Linked DNA regions of Alligator mississippiensis. The protein of the gene in region 2 purifies or fractionates together with the protein of the main gene of each other region. This does not show direct contact. Links are inferred from orthologs where the notes say so. Each region holds a gene or a part of one and is shown on either strand. Other genes may lie near its edges.

Evidence for each region. Proteins that work in one complex are often made in the same cells at the same time.
Region 1: the proteins of EP300 (region 2) and ALYREF purify together in Homo sapiens (affinity purification with mass spectrometry, with the first as the bait; 3 studies listed by BioGRID). This does not show direct contact. The link is inferred for Alligator mississippiensis from reciprocal best matches to the Homo sapiens genes EP300 and ALYREF.

The regions. Positions count from the first base shown.
Region 1 is NC_081831.1:485,465-489,210, reverse strand, and holds the start of ALYREF (THO complex subunit 4), read right to left. Parts: upstream 2,361-3,746; 5' UTR 2,326-2,360; coding exon 2,214-2,325; intron 1-2,213. UniProt on the Homo sapiens protein: Functions as an mRNA export adapter; component of the transcription/export (TREX) complex which is thought to couple mRNA transcription, processing and nuclear export, and specifically associates with spliced mRNA and not with unspliced pre-mRNA.
Region 2 is NC_081827.1:97,652,445-97,656,190, forward strand, and holds the start of EP300 (histone acetyltransferase p300), read right to left. Parts: upstream 2,621-3,746; 5' UTR 1,215-2,620; coding exon 1,121-1,214; intron 1-1,120. UniProt on the Homo sapiens protein: Functions as a histone acetyltransferase and regulates transcription via chromatin remodeling. Acetylates all four core histones in nucleosomes. Histone acetylation gives an epigenetic tag for transcriptional activation.

The DNA.
Region 1 (3,746 bases), on a different chromosome or scaffold from region 2:
CAGCACGTGGTCGCGGGGGGTGTTGAGGGGGCAGATGTGACCGGGGGGGGCAGCACATGGTCGCGGGGGGTGTTGAGGGGGCAGATGTGACGGGGGGGGCAGCATGTGGTCGCGGGGGTGTTGAGGGGGGCAGATAAAGTCCGGGGGGGGGGCAGCACGTGGTTGAGGGGGGCAGATGTGATGGGGGCAGCACGTGGTTGCGGGGGGGTGTTGAGGGGGCAGATAAAGTCCGGGGGGGGGGGGGGGCAGCATGTGGTTGAGGGGGGCAGATGTGACGGGGGGGGGCAGATAAAGTCCCGGAGGGGGGGCAGCACATGGTTGAGGGGGGCAGATGTGACGGGGGGGGGGGGCAGCACGTGGTCGCGGGGGGTGTTGGGGGCAGATGTGACGGGGGGGCAGCATGTGGTCACGGGGGGTGTTGGGGGGCAGATGTGACTGGGGGGGCAGCACATGGTCGCGGGGGGTGTTGAGGGGGCAGATGTGACCGGGGGGGGGGGGGGGCAGCACGTGGTCGCGGGGGGGTGTTGAGGGGGCAGATGTGACGGGGGGGGGCAGCACATGATCACGGGGGTGTTGAGGGGGCAGATGTGACGGGGGGGCAGCATGTGGTCGCGGGGGTGTTGAGGGGGGCAGATAAAGTCCGGGGGGGGGGGCAGCATGTGGTTGAGGGGGGCAGATGTGACGGGGGGGGGGGCAGATAAAGTCCCGGGGGGGGGCAGCACATGGTTGAGGGGGGCAGATGTGACGGGGGGGGCAGCACGTGGTCGCGGGGGGTGTTGGGGGCAGATGTGACGGGGGGGCAGCATGTGGTCACGGGGGGTGTTGAGGGGGGCAGATAAAGTCGGGGGGCAGCACGTGGTTGAGGGGGGCAGATGTGATGGGGGGGCAGCACGTGGTTGCAGGGGGTGTTGGGGCAGATAAAGTCGGGGGGGGCAGCATGTGGTGGGGGGGGGGCAGATAAAGTCCCGGGGGGGGCAGCACGTGGTTGAGGGGGGCAGATGTGATGGGGGGGCAGCACGTGGTTGCAGGGGGTGTTGGGGCAGATAAAGTCGGGGGGGGCAGCATGTGGTGGGGGGGCAGATAAAGTCCCGGGGGGGGGGGGCAGCACATGGTTGAGGGGGGCAGATGTGACGGGGGGGGGCAGCACGTGGTCGCGGGGGGTGTTGGGGGCAGATGTGACGGGGGGGGCAGCATGTGGTCACGGGGGGTGTTGGGGGGCAGATGTGACTGGGGGGGCAGCACATGGTCGCGGGGGGTGTTGAGGGGGCAGATGTGACCGGGGGGGGGGGGGGGCAGCACGTGGTCGCGGGGGGTGTTGGGGCAGATGTGACGGGGGGGGGCAGCACATGATCACGGGGGGTGTTGAGGGGGCAGATGTGACGGGGGGGGCAGCATGTGGTCACGGGGGTGTTGAGGGGGGCAGATAAAGTCCGGGGGGGGGGCAGCACGTGGTTGAGGGGGGCAGATGTGATGGGGGGGGCAGCACGTGGTTGCGGGGGGGTGTTGAGGGGGCAGATAAAGTCCGGGGGGGGGGCAGCATGTGGTTGAGGGGGGCAGATGTGACGGGGGGGGGGCAGATAAAGTCCCGGGGGGGGGGCAGCACATGGTTGAGGGGGGCAGATGTGACGGGGGGGGCAGCACGTGGTCGCGGGGGGTGTTGGGGGCAGATGTGACGGGGAGGCAGCATGTGGTCACGGGGGGTGTTGAGGGGGGCAGATAAAGTCGGGGGGCAGCACGTGGTTGAGGGGGGCAGATGTGATGGGGGGGCAGCACGTGGTTGCAGGGGGTGTTGGGGCAGATAAAGTCGGGGGGGGCAGCATGTGGTGGGGGGGGGCAGATAAAGTCCCGGGGGGGGCAGCACGTGGTTGAGGGGGGCAGATGTGATGGGGGGGCAGCACGTGGTTGCAGGGGGTGTTGGGGCAGATAAAGTCGGGGGGGGCAGCATGTGGTGGGGGGGCAGATAAAGTCCCGGGGGGGGGGGCAGCACATGGTTGAGGGGGGCAGATGTGACGGGGGGGGGCAGCACGTGGTCGCGGGGGGTGTTGAGGGGGCAGATATGACAGGGGGGGCAGCACATGGTCGCGGGGGGTGTTGGGGGCAGATAAAGTCCGGGGGGGGGGGCAGCACGTGGTTGAGGGGGGCAGATGTGACCGGGGGGCAGCACGTGGTGGCGGTGCCTGAGCTGGGCCCTGACCCCGTGCCGCCCCTGCCAGGCGCCCGGGAGCCGGCCGTGCACGGCGCCATGAAGGTGAAGATCAAGAGCTGGAACGGGGTGGCGTCCTGGCTGTGGGTGGCCAATGACGAGAACTGCGGCATCTGCCGCATGGCCTTCAACGGCTGCTGCCCGGACTGTGAGTCGCCGCTCCCCGGCCCCTGCCCCCAAGCGCTCGCTCCCTGCTGACCGCTGTCCTTGCCTCCTAGGTAAGGTGCCCGGCGATGACTGCCCCTTGGTGTGGGGCCAGTGCTCGCACTGCTTCCACATGCACTGCATCCTCAAGTGGCTGAACTCGCAGCAGGTGCAGCAGCACTGCCCCATGTGCCGGCAGGAGTGGAAGTTCAAGGAGTGACGGCGCCCTGGGCTGCAGTTCGGCCTCCGGGTTCCCTCTCCCTGCGGCCTGGAGCAGCAAAGCGTTGGTGTGGCATCGCGCGTGTGCCAGGCACTCGCAGGGACACCAAGCAGGCGCAGGCCAGGCCCCAACACACTCTGACTTCCCGCAGACGCAGAGCAGCTCCCGGCTGCCGTGAGCAGTGCGGATGTGGCTACATGTCTAACATGTTCCCAACGTTCGTGCGAGGACCCCAACCGTGGCAGTCGCATCCACACAGCACCTCTTCCCTCCGTGCAGCCCGAGCTGGTCGGCTTTTCCTCTGCCCTGTGCCTTGTGCCTACAGGGTCTGTGCAGCCCCCATTCACCTGGGTGAAAGGGCAGCAGGACAAGGTGGATCCCATATTGCCCTTCCCGTGGCAGCCATCAGTGTCTCCACGAATATGTGAGTCCTTGTTTGGGCACTGAACATGGACACCCCTGTGCCTGACGTTTTAGGCGCTGCTACTGCTGGCTCAGCTCTGCCCGGACCCAGACAGAAACATCTTGTTCAAACGTGCCAGGAGGCCGAGTGAGTTTAGCTGAACCTGTCCCCTGCCTGTGCCCTGAAAAGCCCTCTAAGGCCTGGCCTGACTCCACCTTTCTCTGGCCTCTGGGAGGGCTCTAGTAGCTGCCTCAGGCTGTTCCTCCTGTGCCTCCATGTGTGGGCATCCCATGTCCTGTTCCCTTGATCAAATGCTCTTGCGTCCTCTCAGCTGCTGAAGGTTTGCTGGTGCTGCTTGTCACTCTGCATCCAAGCAGGCTGCTCCCACATGTTAGCAGCCGTGGGAGGCTGTTGGCTCTGAGCGTTAGCAAGAGCGCCAATGCTGCCATGACCTGGAGGGTCAGGGGCTGCAGGCCGGGCACGCTCCTCAGCAGCAGCATCCTGCGCTCTCTGAGTCTCGGCCGCCGGCCTGATGAGACCTGCTCCTTTCAGGCAGCCTCCAAGCAGCAGCAGCATCGGCTAATTTCCAGCTGCGACGTGTTGGTACGTGGATTGGTTTCAATAAACCCTGGGCTGTGATTCATGGTTCTTGCTGCTCCTTACTGTTGTGGGCCCAGGGGAGCTCTTGTGAAGGCGGCTGCCCACCCACAGACACCGAGGGGGCGACTGAGTCCATGCTGTTGACAAGGACTCTTCCTGGATGTGCAGCCAGGTGG
Region 2 (3,746 bases):
TCATCTGCTCACCAGAGGTTCATTAAAAAGCAGACACCCCACTGGAAGCTTCAAGAACAGCTCATTCATGTTTGCTGAGGATTGGGACACTTAAAACTTGCATCCTTTAGTGATATTTCTTCTCTGTTGTGACATTTCTACAGAGTAGTCTTCCCCCCCTAAAACACCATCATTAAAAACCCTTGCAAGATTGCAAAGAACACCCTCTTCATCTTCTCTACCTGGTAAATCTAAATGGGAATTTCAGACATTTTGGTCTCAGCAGCAAAGAAATGGGAGATACAGAATGAACTGCGCTCCATATTGATTCTTAATGCAAATAAGGTGAAATAATGCATGTTTGTATGAAGATATAAATGCTCTTGGTGAACCCACATACCCCATAATCTTTATTTTAAATAGAGATTGAGACAGATAAGTTTGGAAATAATCAAAGAAAACAGCAGAATACCTCATCTTTAGAGATCCTTGTGCAAGAGAGAAAAAGTGAAAAGGAACAGTTAAAAAGTCAATAATATAATCAAAGTGAAATGAGGGGGGGAAATTGAGAATGGAAGAGAATTAAACCATTTGCTAAGAAAAATCTGAATGCTATGTAAAAACCTTACATACAAGCCAAAAAAAACAGCCCCTATGGGCTGACCCTGTTTATTTGCATGCGTGCACACACACACAGAAAGACAGTGGAGAGAAATGCAACGAAGATGCTGCATGTGTGTACTATTGCCTATGCCTGCAACTGGAACAGAGATAGAGAATAAAGATCTCTGAAAGAATTACTGCTGCGAAATGAAATGGATGGGGGAAAAAAAAGGGGTAAATTAAGGCTTTTCTGCAAATGGCCAAATGCAGGAGACAACCACCTTACGTTTCTAGCTCTTCCAGTAAATAAAAAGTAACAACAATTATCACCCTCCAGTGATGTTAGCACAGAAGAGATGCAAAGAAAGGGGGTGCAGGGAGGGAATGTAGAGGGAAAGGGAAAGGAAGAGAGTGTAAAGGGGGGGGCGGGCAGGGAAGAAGTAAAACTGAAGGTAAGAGGAAAGGGAGAGAGAAAAAACAGCTCTGGGTATACAGCTGGGGCAGTAAGAGGGTGGGGGCTTGGGCCCCTGAGACTGACCTGTGCCGTCGCTGGCGGACACGGAGAGCGCCGGTGAGGAGAGTTTAGGCCGCTTGGCTGAAGACGGGCCCGGCTCCACCACATTCTCGGCCATTTTTAATTCTTTTTTAGACAAACAGCGCAGGAGGCTGGGGAGGGGGGGAGGGAAGGGGGAACCCCAAGATCGCCCCTTTCTCTCAGGGCCCTGATTCAGCTGAAGAACAACAACACGGAGAGAGAGGCAGGAGGATCTGGAGGAGATGAAAGCAGGGCAAGTTCCCCTTTTTCTGCCCTTCAGGCTCAGTCTCTAGGCGGGTGGCAGCGGAGACGTGGGGCAAATGCAGGCAGCAGGGTGGGGGGGAGAGAAGGGAAGCCTTTCCCCCCAGGCCAAAGGGCAGCTGCGGATGAGAAGAGCAGCTGGGAAAGCCCCGGCCAGCAACAACACTGCCAATTTTTTTTAAAAAAAAGATTAATAACAATAAATCAAATTTAAAAAAAAAAATCAAGCTGCCAGAGGCCGTGTCCGATTAATCCCAGCGGGTGCACTGCTGCTGCTGCTGGTGCTTCTTCACCGCCACCATCATCTTCATCATCCTCCGGGGGGTCTCCTCCTCCTGCTGCTGCCGCTGCCTCTTCACCGCCGCCATCAGCCTCTTCCTCCTCGGCGTCGTCCTCCTCCTCCTCATCGCCACAAGGAGGCGGGCGAAGGAGGGGAGAGAAGGAGGAGGGGGGGAAAAAGAGGAGGAAAGGGAAAAAAAAAAAAAAAAATCACCGTCCTCTAGCAGCGCCTTCCCCCTCCGACGCCGCCCTGCGAAAAAGCCCCGCGGCGGGGCCGGGGAGGGCGGCGCGTGTGCGGGGCGCCCAGCTCCCAGCCGGGCCAGGCACTAATGGCTGCAGCGCGGGGAGGATGAGGAGCGTCCCAGGAGCCTCCGCTTCACATCTTGCTGTGCGGGCGCCGGAGCCGCGGCGGCGCTGGGGGTCCGGCCGGGGCGGCGGCAGGCGTCGCTCGGCGTCTCGGCAGCGCCCCCCCCCGCGCGGGCAGATGGAGCGATCCCCCCGCAGCGGCGGCGGTAGCAGCAGGAGGAGGAGGAGGAAGCAGCCGGCCCCTCCCCCCCTCTGCCTACAGCCCCCCTCTCGAGCGGGCGAGGCCGGGGCTCGGGCGGGCCGGGTTGTCCCCGCGGGGCGCGGGGATGGCGACTCCCGGCCTCCTCCGCCCCTCAGGCGCGGCGCAGCCTCCCTCTCGCCTCCGCCATGGCCGGGGGGTGGGGGGGGCGGCGGGGGGCGGGCGCGGGGCGGGATCCGGGCTGTCCTGCCCGGCTGCCGGCTGCGAGGGGAGGAGGGCGGCTGAGGGGGTCCCGGCGCCTCTCTCTGCGCACTCCCCGCCTCCGTGCGGCTCTGCCCGTGCGGCCGGCGCTGGCCCAGGCTCCGGCTCCCTCCCTCCCTCAGTCGCTCGCACACAAACAAAATGGCGGCTGTTGTTTCTTCGCTCTCCCGAGTCCTCCGAGAGGGAAGCGAGCGGCGGCGGCGGCAGCCGGAAGTGAGCCAAGAGGCGGGGGGGAAGGGGCGGGGCCTGAGGGGTGAGGGGCGGGGCCTGGCGTCGCGGCCGGGCTCGCGCACACAATGGAACGCCGGGGGGTGCGGGGCGGGGGGGTGGTCACGAGGCGCCGACAGCCACTCAGCGCGCGCCGTGCACCGCTCCCTTCCGCAAACTCCCTCCGCCCCGCCCCCCCTTAAAGGGGAAGGAGGAGGAGAGGCCAAAGCCCCTCCTAGCCTCCCTGTGCTCGGCTTTTCTGTTTCTGTCGGCCGAAAAGCGCTGTGGTGCTTGGGGCAGGCCCGTTGTCATGCCGGGGCTGTCAGGCAGGGGGTGGCTGCGCCGCTTGCAGCGGGGCCCCAGAGCCTTGGCACGTAGCAGCCCCCCAGAGCTCCCTTCAGGCTGCGCAGCCCGTTAGTGCGGAGGGGGCGACCTGTACGAGCCAGCAGGGCTGGGCCCGGGCTCCACGCATGGTTCTGCGCACGCAGGGGTGGTCCCAAGCCTGTGGGGGTTTTGGGGTCCGTCTGCACCGCCCCACACACGCTGCGTCGCCCCGTCCTGCTTCCCTGCGGCCTTTGGACGCCAAGCACGGCAGGAGCGGCCAGGCAGAAAGTGCCCTCGCTCGCTGCTCCGGGAGAGGCAGCTTTGCTTACTTGAGATCTCGTGTGGGCTGAGGTGGTTCGAGCTTGGTGCTAATAACGCCAAGGTCCTGGGTTTGTGCCCTGTACGGACGGACGCTCTACGCACCCTTTCCTTTCCTGCCCAAGTGCAGGGGGGCCGGACCCCGTGATCTGTAAGGTCCCTTCCAGCCCCCAACAACTATGCAACTATCAAGTGGGGGCATCTGATTGCCAAGACCTCCGGGTTTGGGCCTGCACGTAGGACGCCTGCCGATGGATGTGGGCGGATCTGAAGTCCCTGGGATGGAGGATGCTCCCGGTTGTAGCGCCATACATGGTGCTGCGAATGATTGAGTTCTGCCTGCTCAGTCCATGCGGGGTTTGGAACGGCTGAGTTCTGCTCAGCCAATATCATTTGGAACCGATTGGGCTGATTTGACCTGGAACACGAAATATATTAATTTAAAAAAGAATGTTGTGTTTAAGATAACCAGCC